Linked DNA regions of Daphnia pulex. The protein of the gene in region 2 purifies or fractionates together with the protein of the main gene of each other region. This does not show direct contact. Links are inferred from orthologs where the notes say so. Each region holds a gene or a part of one and is shown on either strand. Other genes may lie near its edges.

Region 1 (5,542 bases), on a different chromosome or scaffold from region 2:
AATAAAATGTTCTGAAATCATAATTAATGAATGCTGATTAAGGAAGAAAAAAACCCTGGTGTCTTTTACCTTTTTTTCAGCTAAGTACTCCATCCCTCGGGCAACTTGAAAAGACCAAGAGATCAAATTACTTTGACGTGGCCTTGGTGAGGTAGTATAGGTCGATAGCGGACGGAGAATTCTAAAAAAGAGAAAAGAAACTCAAGGATCAAAAGTTACTTAGATGTAAATGATTCAAAACAATAAAATCTAATTACTTCACCTTTCAGAATTTTCCCAACCTAAATTTACAAAAATTGCATGAAAAAATTTGTCAAGAACACCTCAGTAAAATGTATTAGTCTATTTTCAGTGGCTACAATCGGAACACGGCGATAGATACAGGAATTTATTAGTTGTATTTTAATACACGCGCAATGCGGGGGGAACCGTCGCACACTCTTTCTCGTCTAGCGTTTCATCGATGACGGGGCGGTATTGCAAAGTGACATCTCCTTTCTCCTGATCACACCAGGAGAGTGTGTGCTTGCGCCAGTGCTGCTCTAGAGGTTGCTTCTGTTGACCTTCCATCGGCTTCTTGAAGTCGTACTCGTCGACACGGTCTTTGAAATCTTCGCGGGCATGGGCACCGCGAGATTCTTTCCTGGCTTCGGCACTGTAGATGGTCTGAATGCCGTTCAACATGAGGTTCTGGAGCTCAAGGGTCTCAACCAAATCAGAATTCCAGACTAGGCCGCGATCGGCCACCTTGATGTCGTGCAATGATGGCCAAAGATCAGACATCTTCTTACATCCCTCTACCAAAACGTCTCCAGTACGGAAGACGGCTGCGTGATTCTGCATAGTTTTCTGCATCTTGCCACGAAGTTCGGCCGTGGTGACACTACCATTGGCAAAACGAAGCTTGTCCAAATTCGCCACGGAACTTTCGCCAGCGTTCTATCAAGACAAATGATTGAACAACACAAAATCATAGAAAATCAAATAAACGAATATTACCGGACTCAATTTTCCGATAGTTTCGGATGGCTTGTTCTCTTCGGCAATAGTTAGGGCACATGCTCGGCCGAAAACGACCAAATCGAGCAAAGAATTGGCACCCAGGCGGTTAGCACCGTGCACGGATGCGCAGGCAGCTTCTCCAGCAGCGTACAAACCAGGTACAATAACATCAGCTCCATCTTTGTGCGTAATAACCTGGGGATGAAAATAAAATTATTTCAGGAGTCGTTTCATTTGCAAACAAGATGATAAGCGATGTTACCTGGCCCTTGAAGTTCGTGGGAACGCCACCCATGTTGTAATGGACGGTAGGCAACACTGGGATCGGCTCACGAGTGACGTCAACGCCGGCAAAAATCATGGCCGTTTCAGAAATACCAGGAAGGCGTTCAGCCAACTGTTGTGGAGGAAGATGATGAAGTTGAAGGTATACATGATCCTTCTCGGGGCCACAACCGCTACAAGAGCATCAAAGTTTGAGCATAATTATACATTTCTTTGATTTGGCAAAGATATTACCGTCCTTCACGGATTTCAATAGTCATAGCACGAGATACGACGTCACGTGAGGCCAAATCCTTAGCCACTGGAGCGTATCTTTCCATAAATCGTTCGCCTTCGCTGTTGATAAGGTAACCACCTTCTCCACGGCAACCCTCGGTAATGAGACATCCAGCTCCGTAAATTCCTATTGTTATGGTCAAATTTAGTCCAAACGATCTAATAGGCTAATTTGCAATTCCTTTACCAGTAGGATGGAACTGAACGAACTCCAAATCTTGAAGAGGAAGTCCAGCACGAGACACCATGGCGTTACCGTCACCAGTGCAAGTGTGAGCAGAAGTACATGAAAAGAAGGTTCGACCATATCCACCGGTAGCGAGAACAGTGTTCTTGGATCTGAAACGATGGATGGATCCGTCCTCCAAACAAAGAGCGATCACGCCGCGGCATTCGCCTTCCTCCATCAACAGATCCAAAGCAAAATATTCGACGAAGTAATTGCAATCGTAGCGAAGAGACTGGCCGTACAAGGTGTGAAGAAGAGAATGGCCAGTACGATCAGCAACGCAGCAACATCTAGTTAATAATTAAGGATTTTTAATTTCTGCCTTGAAGTTTTAATAATTTAGGTATACCTGTGAGCTTGTCCACCTTTGCCATAATTGTAGGACTGTCCACCAAAAGCCCTCTGGTAGATTTTGCCGTCTTGGGTGCGGCTAAAAGGCATACCTTAATGATATGCGAAGGGGAAATATGATCAATTGTCTGCTGTAGAAGAAATTATTGATAAGTGGGACATACCATAGTTCTCCAACTCAATAACTGCGTGAGGAGCTTCTTTGGTCATGTAATGGATAGCGTCTTGATCTCCAAGCCAATCTGAGCCTTTAACAGTGTCATACATGTGCCACTTCCAGTCATCTTTTTCCATATTTCCCAGAGCTGCATTAATTCCACCTTGGGCAGCAACAGTGTGTGATCGGGTGGGAAACAGCTTTGTGATCACAGCTGTTTTGAATCCTTTTTCAACCAAGCCAAAAGCTGCACGAAGTCCAGCACCACCAGCACCAACAACAACTATAAAACAAACAATTAATACCAATTTTTGTTTAACTGTTATGTAATCAAAATACCTGCATCATAGGTGTGATCAACAACTGGATAGTCTCGGGAAATCTGATTACAAGCCAACAGCAAATAGAAAGGGTTAATTTTTCTCTATCTGATGGGTCTACCAATAAAATTTTACAACTAACCTGGCTTGTTCCAACATTAGAATCCTTGCGTCCATCAATGGTGAAGTGGAAATTACGGTTACCAATCACAGCTGGCCTTGCATTAAGCTACAAATTCCATTTTGGTAACATCTCAATTAGTTATTTGGTCAATATCTTGGGTGAATATCATAATAATACACTAATCTTGATAAATTTTAAAGTTTAACTAAGTTTTATCGACGTTGATATTTTCGACACTCACCAAAGGAGAGGACACCTTTCCAGCCAATTCCAGTGAGAGCTTCAAAATGTTAGCCATGGTTTAAGTGAGAGGTAAAATTGAACCTCTTTCGATGACGAGAACTGCGTTTTTGACTAACTTTTTGGATAGCCAAATTGACCGGACAACGTCGTGTAAAAGTTACGTAAGGAAATGAATAGAAAATCATGCACGGTGTAGAGCTAGCGCTCCAAGCGGATAATAATAGAAGATCCAAAGGACAAACATGGGATAAACAGAAATACCCAAAATTCAAAATATTTTCACTTGAGTAAAGAGAAATGAGTCAAATGAAATTACCCTAAAATAGAAACTCAAAATTTCGGGTACTTGGACTTGGATTTTTAATCAATATCCTATATTTTGAATTTAAGTTTTAACTAGCATAACAAACAAATATTGTTAGCCACTTATCAGCTAGCTAGTAAACTAGCTAGAGCCCAATCAGAACTTGACGTCGTGAATGCAAAATACCGCTCACGATATTCGTTATTGGGACAATCCTTTGATTATCATGAAAGTAAAGCGACACAATCTCTTAAAGATGGCAGTGTATTTCATTGCGATTGTCTTACATTTCAGCACCATATGAAATCATAGGCTTAGTTGTTTTTATTTGTACTTTTGTAATTATTTTTACAACTATAAGGCAGCAGAAGGCGAAGTCAGAAAAAAGCTCAAACCATTCAGTTATGGAAATCCGCTTTCGTTTAGAAGTAACAGAAGAATGTCGAAAGAGTGAGTCAACATAAAATTAGTTAATGCTGGTGATTTAAACGTGAGGTGTCAATAATTCCAAGGACTAAATTTGACCTAATTCCCTTGAATCTTCAGGGTTCGATGGCGATGATGTTTAGTCAACTGTATAACGGACGAAAGAGTCGATGCCATTTGACGTTATGAAATGTCAAAATCATTACACTACAATTTACTAGTCCTAGCTTTATTCAGGTGATTTGATTTTAAGGTTCGATGGCGAGAGACAAGATCCTCGACAACAGCAGGATCAGCCAACGTTGAAATATCACCCAGATTGTCGGTCTCATCCGCCGCAACTTTACGTAATATTCGTCGCATAATCTTGCCGGATCGCGTCTTGGGCAAACTAGGGCAGATCTATTGAAATGTACCACGTCGAGAACCAACATTAGCATTATGATTAAGAAATTTTCCTGCCATTTTATTATTATACCTGTATTACATCCGGAATCGCATAGGCAGCAATTTTCTGCCGGACAATTCCTCTTAATTCAGCTTCTATCTTGGCATCAGCGACGAATCCGTCCTTAAGAGTGACGTAAGCGTAAATGCCTTCGCCCTTGTCACTACAAGGATACCCCACAACGGCTGACTCTGCTACAGACGGATGTTGACCCTGTTGGAACGAAAAACTGTCATCCGAGTTCTTTTAATTTAAAATATTTGTTGTAATACCAGGGCATTTTCCACCTCGGCAGTACCGAGTCGATGTCCAGTAACGTTGATAACGTCATCCATTCTTCCCGTTATCTGATAGTAGCCATCACTGTGTCGAACAGCACCATCACCGGTAAAATAGAAGCCATTAAAAGGTCGATAATAAGTTTCCAGGAAGCGGCTGTGGGTTCCATAAATGGTGCGTGCCATTCCCGGCCAAGGCTTTTTCAAACACAAGGCACCTGTTACATCATTGCCTAACAACTCCTCCCCCTTTGCAGAACAGATTTCCAATCAGGATGAATTTGGAAAATAAATAAATATTAGACATTACCTTTTCTCCTAGAATAGCAGGCCAGATTCCGTACATCGGTCTCATCGGCATACCGGGACGAATTTCTGATCCAGGAGCCGAGGGTGTTGGACTGATGCAAATGCCTCCCGTTTCCGTTTGCCACCAAGTGTCCACAACCACGCATTTCTCTTTGCCCACAACTTTGTTGTACCAGTGCCAAGCCTCCACATTGATGGGTTCACCCTGGGAAGAAAATAACGTTGAACCGTGATCACGTTTAATTAGACACTTAATTTACAATCATACCACAGAGCCTAGAGTGCGAAGGGAGCTGAGATCATACTTTTCGACATGTTCGTCACCGTATTTCAATAATAATCGAATGGCCGTAGGAGCTGCATACAATTGGTTAATTTTTAGTCGCTGGACAGTCTCCCAATATCGACCTGTTGGGAAAACAAGAATTATGTAACGTCAACATTTGAGATCAAATGAATAGTTAAATCGAGACCTGGATTGGGATATGTTGGCGTACTCTCGAACAAAAGAGTCGTGACTCCGTTGGCCAACGGGCCGTACACGACGTAAGAATGGCCCGTGATCCATCCAATGTCAGCCACGCAACCAAAAATGTCTCCTTCTTTGCAATCGAAAACTAAACTATGTGTCAACGACGCATAAAGAAGATAGCCAGCTTGGGAATGAACTATCCCTTTAGGATTTCCCGTGCTGCCGGATGTGTAGAGCATAAACAGCAAATCTTCGCTGTCCAAAACGGCCGGTTCACATTCGCCGCTCTCTTTAACCATCGCCTGACAAAAATTTTCC
Region 2 (5,437 bases):
TTGCGGAAATAAGAAAGACATTTATTATTGTGTGCAGCACCACCAGCCATTGGCGGTTTTTTCGAATCGATCGGCTTTCGGCGCTCGCTGCACTTTTTTTCCTTTTTACACGCCAGCATCATATCCGCAAGACATTTTAACCAAGTCCAATCGGGTACTCAACGATTGTCGTAGTATATATATAGAGAATGTACAATCACAAAACCAGACCGTCAATAATACCACTCCATTTCCTACATCTTCTTTTCTTTCTTTCTTCTTTTGTGCGTATAGATCCCAGGACGATATGTTCATGATGAAGCCTCATACATACATTTGTTTTGTTATTTCTGCTTACCAAATACGATAGAGTTAAGTAGATGTATATACTGGCAGTGTTGGAATATCTACCACGATTCAACACCAATATAAAACAAGATAAAACCCGTCCCTCCATCTTTTTTTTGAAACGAAACTGTCAAGTTCGCTGGGTCTGTCGGGGGAGAGATAAATAGCCTATCTATAGGTTCCCATCAGAGCTGTTTGACAATCATCACTGGTATAGATCTCTCTCTTAAATATATGCCATCACCCCAATTACCATATAGACAGTTGCTCCGCTTTGGAATCCGTAATTAGCTTAAGTATGTGCCAGCCTATGATGCAAGAACCGTTGTGACAGACGACCGGGTTCTCCAGTTTACACACACAACCCAATACCGTATTTCCTCGTCGTCTATATCTCACAGGCTGCGTATTGACTGTAATATTAGAATGACGTGCTTTTAAAAAGGCAGCTCTTATTATGTTAAGCAGTGCGAGCAGTTCACGAATCACAATTGGACGCTTAAAGACTCGGGATTCAAATATATGCTTCGCGATTCAATTTCTCGAAAGGGAGTAAACATTATTTATTTATTTTTTAAAAAGAGAGTCAATCAATATTCAACAAGGTATTCAGCAGCAATAACGTTGGTTTCCGGTGACATTACTGATGCTGATTTATGCCGGATATATATAGAGAGATAGATATCTATTCATGAGAGCTTGTGCCGACGCGAACATTTAAATTCCCTCTCGATTTCCAATGGAAATCGATAGTTTACTTATAGAATTCAAAATTCGATCCAATAATACGCATGCATATTGCATACCCCGGAGCATTTTCGTAACGGGGTTAATTGTCAATTGTATTTTCTTTTTTTCCTGATGGATATCCTGACAATGAATGTCAACTGCTTACTTTTTTCTTTCTATCTATCTATCCTTTTCGTCTGAAAAGCCGTAGAGATATGAGAAATGCTTCTCTTTGTTTCATTTGTGTCATTCCGCAATAGGCCTGTGTAGCACATAGTCCGCATACCGTTCGTTTATATATATATAGGTCGCATTAATAGTCGCCATCAATCGCAAAACTGAGATTGAGAGAAAGAATGGGTTTCTATTTACAGAGCACTAACTTTTCCATAACCCGGTACTCATAAAATGCTATGGCCGGAGGAGAAGAGGAGCTTTTCCACTTGCAATAAGTTCGCACGAGTAGCAACTCTCGGAGAGAAAAAAAAAAACAGATAAATCGGCAAAGACAATCGAATTTTAACCCAAAGAACAGGAAAAACGAAAGGAAATCCAATAAGGCAATATAATTGCTTTGTTATATTGTCGTTCACCAAGAGACCACCGCATGCGATTTTCATATATGATCTAAGCAGGTTGGGTTGTAATCCAATGCGCTCTTATCTTCGTAATTTTGTTTTTAATTGCTTTTTTGTGGTTTTGTTACATCTTTTAACTGCACAGTGCTCTCTGGTGGAGAAGCAAAGAAACTTTTTCTGATATCTACGCAGTTTTATGTTTTTATCCTGTCGTAAATGTCCCTTTCTTTCAAATCTAAATAAAAAATTACAGTATAGACAATAGAGCAGGATTTACTACATAAGAATTTATAGTAATTTAAAAATTAGAGACTATATCAAACAAGGTTGCACGTTATCTCGATTCGTATACAATTGAGCACGAACACCAAACCTTATTTGACAAATTGATGATCCAAGTGTCGTCTGCTGCAGACTGCAGAGCTGACTGCAGCAATATATTTGTATTCCAACCGTCCTCCACGATTCCCTCATTTTTTTTTACACGTTCGTCCTCAGGAATTAAGTAATATACGCCATGGCATTTCAAATTTCCAATATCAGGAATGTTTTGCGCTTGGGAAAACACGTGCACACCGTAAGTCAAATTTCTTTCTCCTATACTGTGTACCAATCTAGTTTTCTATGATTGTTTTTACCTGTGAGTAATTTGGTTCTCTTGATAATTTAGAAATGGAATATTCAGTCAGTTAGGCACTTGAACTTGCTTGAATATCAAAGCAAATCTCTTTTAGAGAAGTATAATGTGACGGTGCAAAAATTCATAGTTGCAGACAAGATTGAAGACACCAATTCCCTGTCTAAGCTTAGTAAGTTATCATTGGTTAAATATTGTTATGGATTTGTTAAAAATTTGTAATATTCTATTTAGATCCTGGAGAATATGTTGTTAAAGCACAAATTTTAGCTGGAGGACGTGGTTTAGGTGTCTTTGATTCAGGCTTTAAAGGAGGTGTCCACCTTACCAAAGAGTATAAAACAAACTTAACTTAATTATTTCCTCCTTCTCCTTTTACCTATTAAACCAAGCATATTTATTATTTTGCAGTCCAGTAAAAGCCAAAAGTCTTGTTGGTGAAATGTTGAACAAAAGGCTCATTACTAAGCAGACACCTAAAGATGGCATTCCTGTGAATCATGTGATGGTAGCAGAATCAGTTGACATTTTAAGAGAAACCTACCTTTGCATTCTCATGGACAGGTAAATGCAATATAGCTCTTTTTATTGATCAATCAAGGTGATTAACATTTTGCTTTTGTTAATTTATAGAGAATACAATGGACCAGTTATCATTGCCAGTCCTGCTGGTGGAATGGATATAGAAGATGTGGCCCATAAAACTCCTGAACTGATTAAGACTCTACCAGTTGATATTTTTGAAGGGGTCACTGATCAAATGGCAAATGACCTTGCAGAATTTCTTCTTTTCAAAGGGGAATTGAAAAAGAAAGCTGCTCAGGAAATCAAAAACTTGTGGGAAATGTTTCTCAAGGTGGATACATATAGGTGTATTCATTCAAATGAGCTAAAAATAACCCAATTGTTTGTGCTGTTATAGGTGGATGCTGTGCAAGTTGAAATCAATCCCTTCGTTGAAACCCCGCAAGGACAAGTAGTTAGTGTTGACGCCAAGATCGGTTTCGACGACAATGCAAAGTTTCGCCAGCAGGAAATCTTTAACATGGAGGACACAACGGAATGTGATCCTAGGGAAGTAGAAGCCAATAAATATAACTTAAACTACATTGGAATGGATGGAAATATTGGTTGCTTGGGTAAGATAAAAATAAATACATACACCTGCTCGGTTGTTTACTATTATCCATTCTGTAATGGATCACAGTTAATGGGGCTGGACTCGCCATGGCGACGATGGACATTATTCAACTTTATGGAGCTTCTCCTGCAAACTTTCTTGATGTTGGAGGCACTGTTCAAGAACAGCAAGTCCTCCAAGCATTCCAAATCCTCACCTCTGGTACATATAGTTTGAATCGTGTTTACTCGTTAAATTATAATTTTGTTGTTTTTTGTTTTACAGATAAAAATGTCAAAGCTATTCTTGTAAACGTGTTTGGAGGTATTGTCAACTGTGCAACCATCGCATCAGGAATTGTCGGTGCTTGTAAACGCATTGAGTTGAAAGTTCCACTTATCGTTAGACTTGAAGGTAACATTTTTAAGGTATTTTTTTCTCCATTATTAATTAATAACTCAACAAACTTTGTTACAGGAACCAATGTTGATGCAGCAAAGCAGATCCTTAAAGATTCAGGACTTCCAATTCAAAGTGCAAGTGACCTTGATGATGCTGCTAAAAAAGCAGTAGCAAGCATCTAATCCTTAACTGGGATTCTTGTGTATATCTAACCCTTAGATTTATGGACCAAAAAACTGTAGCTATGATTTAAAATAAAAATAAAGGTGGTGCAATATTGATTGGGTACATTTTGCAGAAAAATCAATGTTGTATTTCTTTTTCACTTTATTTACATCACATTTACACTTCTTTGTCATTACAATTTTCCTTTATTTCATGTTGTTTTGAGCTTTTTCTAGCTCATGAAGAAGATCATAAAACTGTTTAAGAGATAATTCCATCACCGTTGTTTCTAATGATGATCCAGTATTTAGCTTCATTTTGATTCTGACATATGTTTGACCTACTTGTTCCTCACAGCTAGAAGCAGCAGTCACTGTAGGGGGAAGACAAATACTGAGAAAAATCAAACTTTGCAAAGTAGTTTTTAAATGTTTACCTCCGAGTTCCCACGCCAAATCAACCAACTGGAAATTCTTCGTCATTTCAATTTTTCATACACTTGTCTATAGGTACCAAACAGGCAATATGATGAGAAAGTCGAGTTTTTCTACAAATATCCTGTAAGTTTATTCTGACAAGTTTTTTATATTTGTGAGATTGTGACATTCGGTGACATTTGCCTGTCTGCTTATCAGCAGTAGTCTGCTCTTGCTGCATTGCCGTCGCATTCAATTAAACATTTAAAAAAAGTACGATTTGCTAATTTCTCGGAAACAATGCATAAACTATATAGCTTAATTATACGGTAGTATTTTTGTTGAAAAATTTAGCTTCTTTAATTTTAAATTTATAAACTTCCAAGACAGAAACTTTTTTGAGCTAGGACTCCTAGGAGTTTGGACAGAGCGGAGTTTGAACTAAAATAGTTCATACGTCTGCCGGTAGTTGTTCCAACTGTATCACAACAAGCAAACACAAGCTCAAAAAGAATTGAACAGGGCTAACTTATTGCGAGTTTGATGAGAGAAACTAAGTACAGTTTTTCAGTTCTAAACAAAAATGAATTCAGGACGTGGTGGTAGTCGATTTTCTGGTTTCAGTGTAGGTCCAAGACCTAGACCGAATGTAAACAAATCTAGTGGCAGTCTTCATGCAGTTCCCCCGCCACCGTCGATGCAAAGACCAGGCAATGCAAACACTATACCTCTAGCCCCAAGATTTTCTCGTCCCGGTTTACCTGGTAGTAGCAGTTTTTCCAGTTCTAACCGATTTCATCCTGCACCTGGGGCTGGTCCCATCAGTGTTGAGATTGTATCACCAGTGTCAGTTAGTAAGCAGGGCTATAGTACTCTAAACGCAATAAGCCAAAGTGCGATAAATACAACATATGGTGTACCCACCAATAGGCCGAAAACAGAAGACGAGTAAGCTAATATGCATGGACATTTGAAATCCCATCTATTTATTTTACATTTACTTTCAAAGTTACTTTGATGAAGATGATGAAGAACCCTCTTCAAATGAACCTCTATATCAACC
Region 3 (5,029 bases), on a different chromosome or scaffold from region 2:
ACTTGACCGAGCGGGAGATGGAGAAAGCGCTGGATCAATTGCTGCGCAATTTGCCCGATCTCGTTCTAGACACTCCAGATGCGCCCACTATCCTGGGCAATTACATCGCCCGCTCCGTTGCCGACGACACGCTGGCTCCCCGTTTCCTGCAGAATTATCAAGGCAAAGTCGAATGCGATCTGGCCAAGTAAGAAATTCATTTGCCCATTCGATTGCATTAAAGAGTTTAAACTTAAAACAATTGAATTGCATTGTTAGGCTTGCTCTGGCCAGAGCGGACGTTTTGCTTTCAATGAAGCATGGAATGACTCGTTTGGACAATGTCTGGGGTGTAGGTGGAGGCCTGCGCCCAGTGGCATCATTGGTCCGTTCCATGGGACTCTTGTTGCAAGAGTATTTATCATCCGACGATACACTGGAGGCGGCCCGATGCCTCAAAGAATTGGAAGTGCCCCATTTCCATCACGAACTCGTCTACGAAGCCGTCGTGCTCGCACTGGAGGCTGCCAACGAAGAAACGGAGAATTCCATGGTTAAACTGCTCAAATCCTTTTACGACAGCACTATCGTTACTCCGGATCAGATGAAAAATGTAATTTTACTACTTTCCTGCTCATTTTCATATCAACAAATGCTAATATTTGAATGTGGTTTTATTTAGGGAATTTATCGCGTCTTGGATGATCTGGACGACATTTGCCTGGACGTACCAAATGCGGCATTGTACCTGGAACGATTGGGCGGTAAGTGTAAAACTGCCGGACTGATTGACGAAGCCATGTTGCAAAAGTGCAATGCCGCTAGGGGACGCAAGCGTTTCGTCTCCGAAGGTGATGGTGGCCGCTTCAAAGACTAAAAATATGCAAATTATCAAGTCTTTTTTTGTCGTTCGGTTCCACCAAAAAACCAAATCCAGAATGAAGAGAAAAAGAGAATCTGTGTGTCAAGTGTTGAGTGTTTTAAGAAGATATACAATAACCGAAATGATTTGGTTACTACATAAACCCACCACCTCCCTCTCACTCTTGTTACGACCCTCACCCTAAAAGACACCGTTCTCCAAAATTTTTGTTTTTCCCTCTCAACTTTTCTCTTTTCGGGTGTCAAATCCTGGTAAGAAAAGAATTAATGGAATGTTTCTCCTTTTTTTTTTATTTACTCAAAGATTACATGTAAAGGTTTGGAAGTTAAATAAACCAGATGTTTTGATCTTTCAAATTGATTTTTGTATTTTTCTCTCAACACCTGTTTTTGTTGGAAATAAGAGAAGAACTTTAATAAAATTGTACAAACCGCGGGAAGTTTTTTTCTCTAATCTTTTTTATTAGTTTACAAAGATGGCTAATATTTCTTTATATAATCATCAAACCACACCTAATTTGATTGCCCTGGGTTGGTTATAAGTTTTCAAACTTTGCCGACCATCTCCTTCATCAATGTTGTGCCCAACTGAGCTGGACTTCGAGTAACAACAACACCAGCCTGTCAAGTTACAAATTTAGAAGTTTTAACATATCTACTCTTGGCGTTAAATTTTGTTAACTTACTCGTTCAAGAGCCATAATCTTATCTTGAGCACCGCCTTTGCCACCAGAAATAATGGCACCAGCGTGACCCATGCGTCGGCCGGGAGGAGCTGTCAAGCCAGCAATAAATGACACTACTGGTTTCCTGTTGTCACCCTGCAAAAATAGAATAAAATTGTGTAAGGAATTCGTTCATTTGGGAGTAAACAGATCGTAAGTATACCGAATTGTGTTGAGTCAGGTACTCGGCAGCTCGTTCTTCAGCTCCACCACCAATCTCGCCGATAAGAATAATTCCCTTGGTTTCTGGGTCATTAAGAAACACTTCCAAACAGTCAATGAAATTGGTGCCGTTGAAAGGATCACCACCAATACCAACGCAGAGAGTTTGACCTAGACCCACCTGTGAGTTGAACGAGACAAGTCCATTAGTAACAAACAATTGGATGAATAGGAAAATGGTGCAATTTACCTGAGTAGTTTGATGAACAGCCTCGTAGGTCAAAGTGCCTGAACGTGAAACGATGCCAACACATCCTTGTTGGTGGATGTGACCAGGCATGATACCAATCTTGCACTAAAGTTTGGTTGTTAATAAATAGTTGTAGCATAAGTTTAGTGTATGAAACAAGGTTAACAGATATATTACCTTGCCAGGAGCAATAATTCCAGGACAATTGGGACCAATCAAACGGGACTTGTTTTGCCTCATAAGGCGATGCTTGACCTTAACCATGTCTTGTTGGGGGATGCCTTCTGTGATGCAGACAATTAAAGGAATTTCAGCATCCATGGCCTCCATGATTGCTTTTGCTGCTCCAGGAGGAGGCACATAGATGACTGTAGCATCTGGTTGCACTGCTTCTTTAGCCTGTTTAGATTTAAAACTTTTAGCCATTTTATAATTTGTTGGAATGAAGGATTGAGATTTACTTCTAGAACGGTGTTGAAAACGGGTACACCAAGATGGATTTTGCCTCCCTTTCCTGGGGAAACTCCACCAACCATGTTGGTACCATAGTCAATGGCCTGCTTGCTGTGAAAGGTTCCTTGTTTTCCCGTGAATCCCTGGCAAAGGACTCGGGTTGATTTGGTCAATTTCATTTGATGTCTAGTTGACGAATAGCACCACCTGACACCGACATTTGGTGGCCTCACAGATACTATAATGACAATAATGGTTTAGAATGAAATGAACCATAGACACATACCTTAAAAATAATCAACCAAACATTTAAAATCAAAATATTTAATTACCCAAGAAAGGGGATAAAACTCGAGCAGCAGCGGCCATGTTTCGTGAATTTTGGTGTGGGATCACAGTCAACACAAGTTTAGTAATGAAAGCAACATTGTAAATTTTTTAATGAAAATACCACATTTTACATTAGTAATTAATTATACACTTTTATTTCAGTTTATTTAAAACTGAATTCTTTATTAATTTAATAATAATTTGAGTTTTTTCAACAAAAAATAGTTTGAACGATCGGATTTGACAAAATGGCAACGTCTAGCTCGCTTTCAAACTCTCAAACCTAACTGGCTTTTTGCTTTCTGCTGCCGGAACTCCCTCCTAATTTTACTCTCAGTCACCTCGATTAGATGACCGTTGCATAAAGTGCGCCATAGTCTTTGTTCGATTTTAATTAAAATTGCAAGGGTAGTGCTCAGATTATGAGCGAAGTGAAACGCAGAGAAATGAGAGATAAAAATCAAAATATCCAAGTCTTCGTCCGAATTCGGTAAGGGCGTTTATTTTTCTAACTGTCTTTTTGCAACTCAACATAACGTTATTTTTTTTGTGGAAATTTCCTAGGCCTGTTAGCTCGCAAGAGAAAGCAGCCCGTTCACCCATTGTGGTTGAAACTCAAGCTGGCAACAATAAAGAAGTGCAGGTGGTTGAGAAGAGTTCGCTTACAAAATCTTTCAGCTTTGATCGGGTCTTTGGGAGCAATTCAAAGCAAGTGGATGTCTATAAAGTTGTTGCCGCTCCATTGGTGGACGAAGTGCTGGCAGGCTATAACTGCACTGTATTTGCATATGGGCAGACGGGGACAGGCAAAACTTTCACCATGGAGGGTGAAAGGCATGACGAATTGTCATCTTCATGGGAAAATGTAAGTTTTTCGAAAACAGAACTTGTTCATGGTTAAGACTTTGTTTTTAATTTTGGTTTGTTAACTCTTTTAGGACCCTTATTCTGGAATCATTCCTAGAACGCTGTCACATCTGTTTGATGAATTGAGGATTCAAGAAGTTGAGTGTACAGTTCGTGTTTCATTTATTGAAATTTATAATGAAGACATCTACGATTTGCTGTCTGGAACTGATGACACTACCAAACTTCGGTGAGTCATTCATTACATTATTTTAACAATTTTGTGACCGTTTAGTAAAAACACATTTGTCTTTCAATTTGTTAAAGCTTGTATGATGACACAACCAAGAAGGGCTCAGTCATTATCCAAGGCATGGAGGAGGTAACTGTGCACAACAAAAATGAAGTGAGTTTTTCCTGATTTCTATTGTCTTCCATTCCAACATTTTAAGGCTGCGTTAAGTCCTTTGTTTACCATCTCTTATTTCATGGTTATTTATCTTACAGGTTTACAGTATTTTGGCTAAAGGCTCGCTCAAGCGTCAAACAGCAGCCACGCTAATGAATGCCCATTCGAGTCGCTCGCATACCATCTTCTCCATCACTGTTCACATCAAGGAGAACACCGACGACGGCGAGGAGCTTATGAAGATTGGCAAACTGAACCTGGTCGATTTGGCCGGGAGTGAGAACATTGGTCGTTCTGGGGCCGTTGAACGCCGAGCTCGTGAAGCTGGCAATATCAATCAATCGTTGCTGACACTTGGTCGTGTTATCACTTCCCTCGTCGAGCGTGCTCCACACATCCCATACAGGTATATAATTTAAACGAAATGATTCAACCGCGCCCAACAGCCACAAAAATGGATGCGTCATTCAACGCGTTAATAACGTTAAAATGGAAATGTTTCTCTCTTCTCTTGGAATCATTTAGAGAATCGAAACTGACACGCTTGCTTCAGGACTCTCTGGGCGGCCGAACTAAAACGTCTATCATCGCTACCATCTCGCCAGCGGCCGCCAACCTGGAGGAGACTCTATCAACCCTCGACTACGCCCACCGAGCCAAGAACATCACCAACCGACCCGAGGTCAATCAGAAGCTCACGAAAAAGGCCCTACTCAAGGTAATCATCGCATACTTGAGAGTGCGCGGAATCCTATCAGCTTTCTCCTCCGCCCTCATCTGACTTGTCTCGAAATATCCTGGCCGGTGTTAACGACCTATCCCACACTACTTACTGCCGCTGCTTGGCTTGACTAATGACAGGGCCTTTCCACACACGCAACCATTTGTATTTAAAGTTGGTGGTGGTGGTGGATGTTATTAGGAGTCCGTCTAGAGCAGTTTAGGTATCGTCCCTTACCAAAAGAGAGAGAAAAGACCACACAATCAAATGCT

The links.
Region 1: the proteins of succinate--CoA ligase [GDP-forming] subunit beta, mitochondrial-like (region 2) and succinate dehydrogenase [ubiquinone] flavoprotein subunit, mitochondrial-like fractionate together in Homo sapiens (co-fractionation; 3 studies listed by BioGRID, with this or other methods). This does not show direct contact. The link is inferred for Daphnia pulex from reciprocal best matches to the Homo sapiens genes SUCLG2 and SDHA.
Region 3: the proteins of succinate--CoA ligase [GDP-forming] subunit beta, mitochondrial-like (region 2) and succinate--CoA ligase [ADP/GDP-forming] subunit alpha, mitochondrial-like fractionate together in Homo sapiens (co-fractionation; 6 studies listed by BioGRID and IntAct, counting the BioPlex papers as one, with this or other methods). This does not show direct contact. The link is inferred for Daphnia pulex from reciprocal best matches to the Homo sapiens genes SUCLG2 and SUCLG1.

The regions. Positions count from the first base shown.
Region 1 is NC_060026.1:13,764,001-13,769,542, reverse strand, and holds succinate dehydrogenase [ubiquinone] flavoprotein subunit, mitochondrial-like, read right to left. Parts: upstream 3,246-5,542; 5' UTR 3,043-3,245; coding exon 2,986-3,042; intron 2,850-2,985; coding exon 2,763-2,849; intron 2,683-2,762; coding exon 2,640-2,682; intron 2,584-2,639; coding exon 2,308-2,583; intron 2,236-2,307; coding exon 2,142-2,235; intron 2,083-2,141; coding exon 1,751-2,082; intron 1,691-1,750; coding exon 1,522-1,690; intron 1,461-1,521; coding exon 1,265-1,460; intron 1,198-1,264; coding exon 1,000-1,197; intron 940-999; coding exon 403-939; 3' UTR 310-402; downstream 1-309. Other genes in the region: acetyl-coenzyme A synthetase 2-like, mitochondrial, read right to left, coding at 3,925-4,119, 4,196-4,378, 4,438-4,692, 4,754-4,957, 5,021-5,160, 5,226-5,526. UniProt on the Homo sapiens protein: Flavoprotein (FP) subunit of succinate dehydrogenase (SDH) that is involved in complex II of the mitochondrial electron transport chain and is responsible for transferring electrons from succinate to ubiquinone (coenzyme Q).
Region 2 is NC_060028.1:10,150,244-10,155,680, forward strand, and holds succinate--CoA ligase [GDP-forming] subunit beta, mitochondrial-like, read left to right. Parts: upstream 1-1,839; 5' UTR 1,840-2,151; coding exon 2,152-2,211; intron 2,212-2,304; coding exon 2,305-2,443; intron 2,444-2,505; coding exon 2,506-2,605; intron 2,606-2,682; coding exon 2,683-2,835; intron 2,836-2,904; coding exon 2,905-3,127; intron 3,128-3,193; coding exon 3,194-3,410; intron 3,411-3,478; coding exon 3,479-3,613; intron 3,614-3,676; coding exon 3,677-3,805; intron 3,806-3,868; coding exon 3,869-3,975; 3' UTR 3,976-4,074; downstream 4,075-5,437. Other genes in the region: ATP-dependent RNA helicase DDX42-like, read left to right, coding at 4,958-5,322, 5,384-5,437. UniProt on the Homo sapiens protein: GTP-specific succinyl-CoA synthetase functions in the citric acid cycle (TCA), coupling the hydrolysis of succinyl-CoA to the synthesis of GTP and thus represents the only step of substrate-level phosphorylation in the TCA.
Region 3 is NC_060023.1:1,594,627-1,599,655, forward strand, and holds succinate--CoA ligase [ADP/GDP-forming] subunit alpha, mitochondrial-like, read right to left. Parts: upstream 3,096-5,029; 5' UTR 2,821-3,095; coding exon 2,784-2,820; intron 2,690-2,783; coding exon 2,460-2,689; intron 2,398-2,459; coding exon 2,176-2,397; intron 2,104-2,175; coding exon 1,999-2,103; intron 1,930-1,998; coding exon 1,750-1,929; intron 1,683-1,749; coding exon 1,548-1,682; intron 1,483-1,547; coding exon 1,408-1,482; 3' UTR 1,204-1,407; downstream 1-1,203. Other genes in the region: programmed cell death protein 4-like, read left to right, coding at 1-187, 259-592, 662-856; kinesin-like protein Klp61F, read left to right, coding at 3,204-3,271, 3,346-3,646, 3,720-3,877, 3,955-4,033, 4,135-4,442, 4,562-4,754. UniProt on the Homo sapiens protein: Succinyl-CoA synthetase functions in the citric acid cycle (TCA), coupling the hydrolysis of succinyl-CoA to the synthesis of either ATP or GTP and thus represents the only step of substrate-level phosphorylation in the TCA.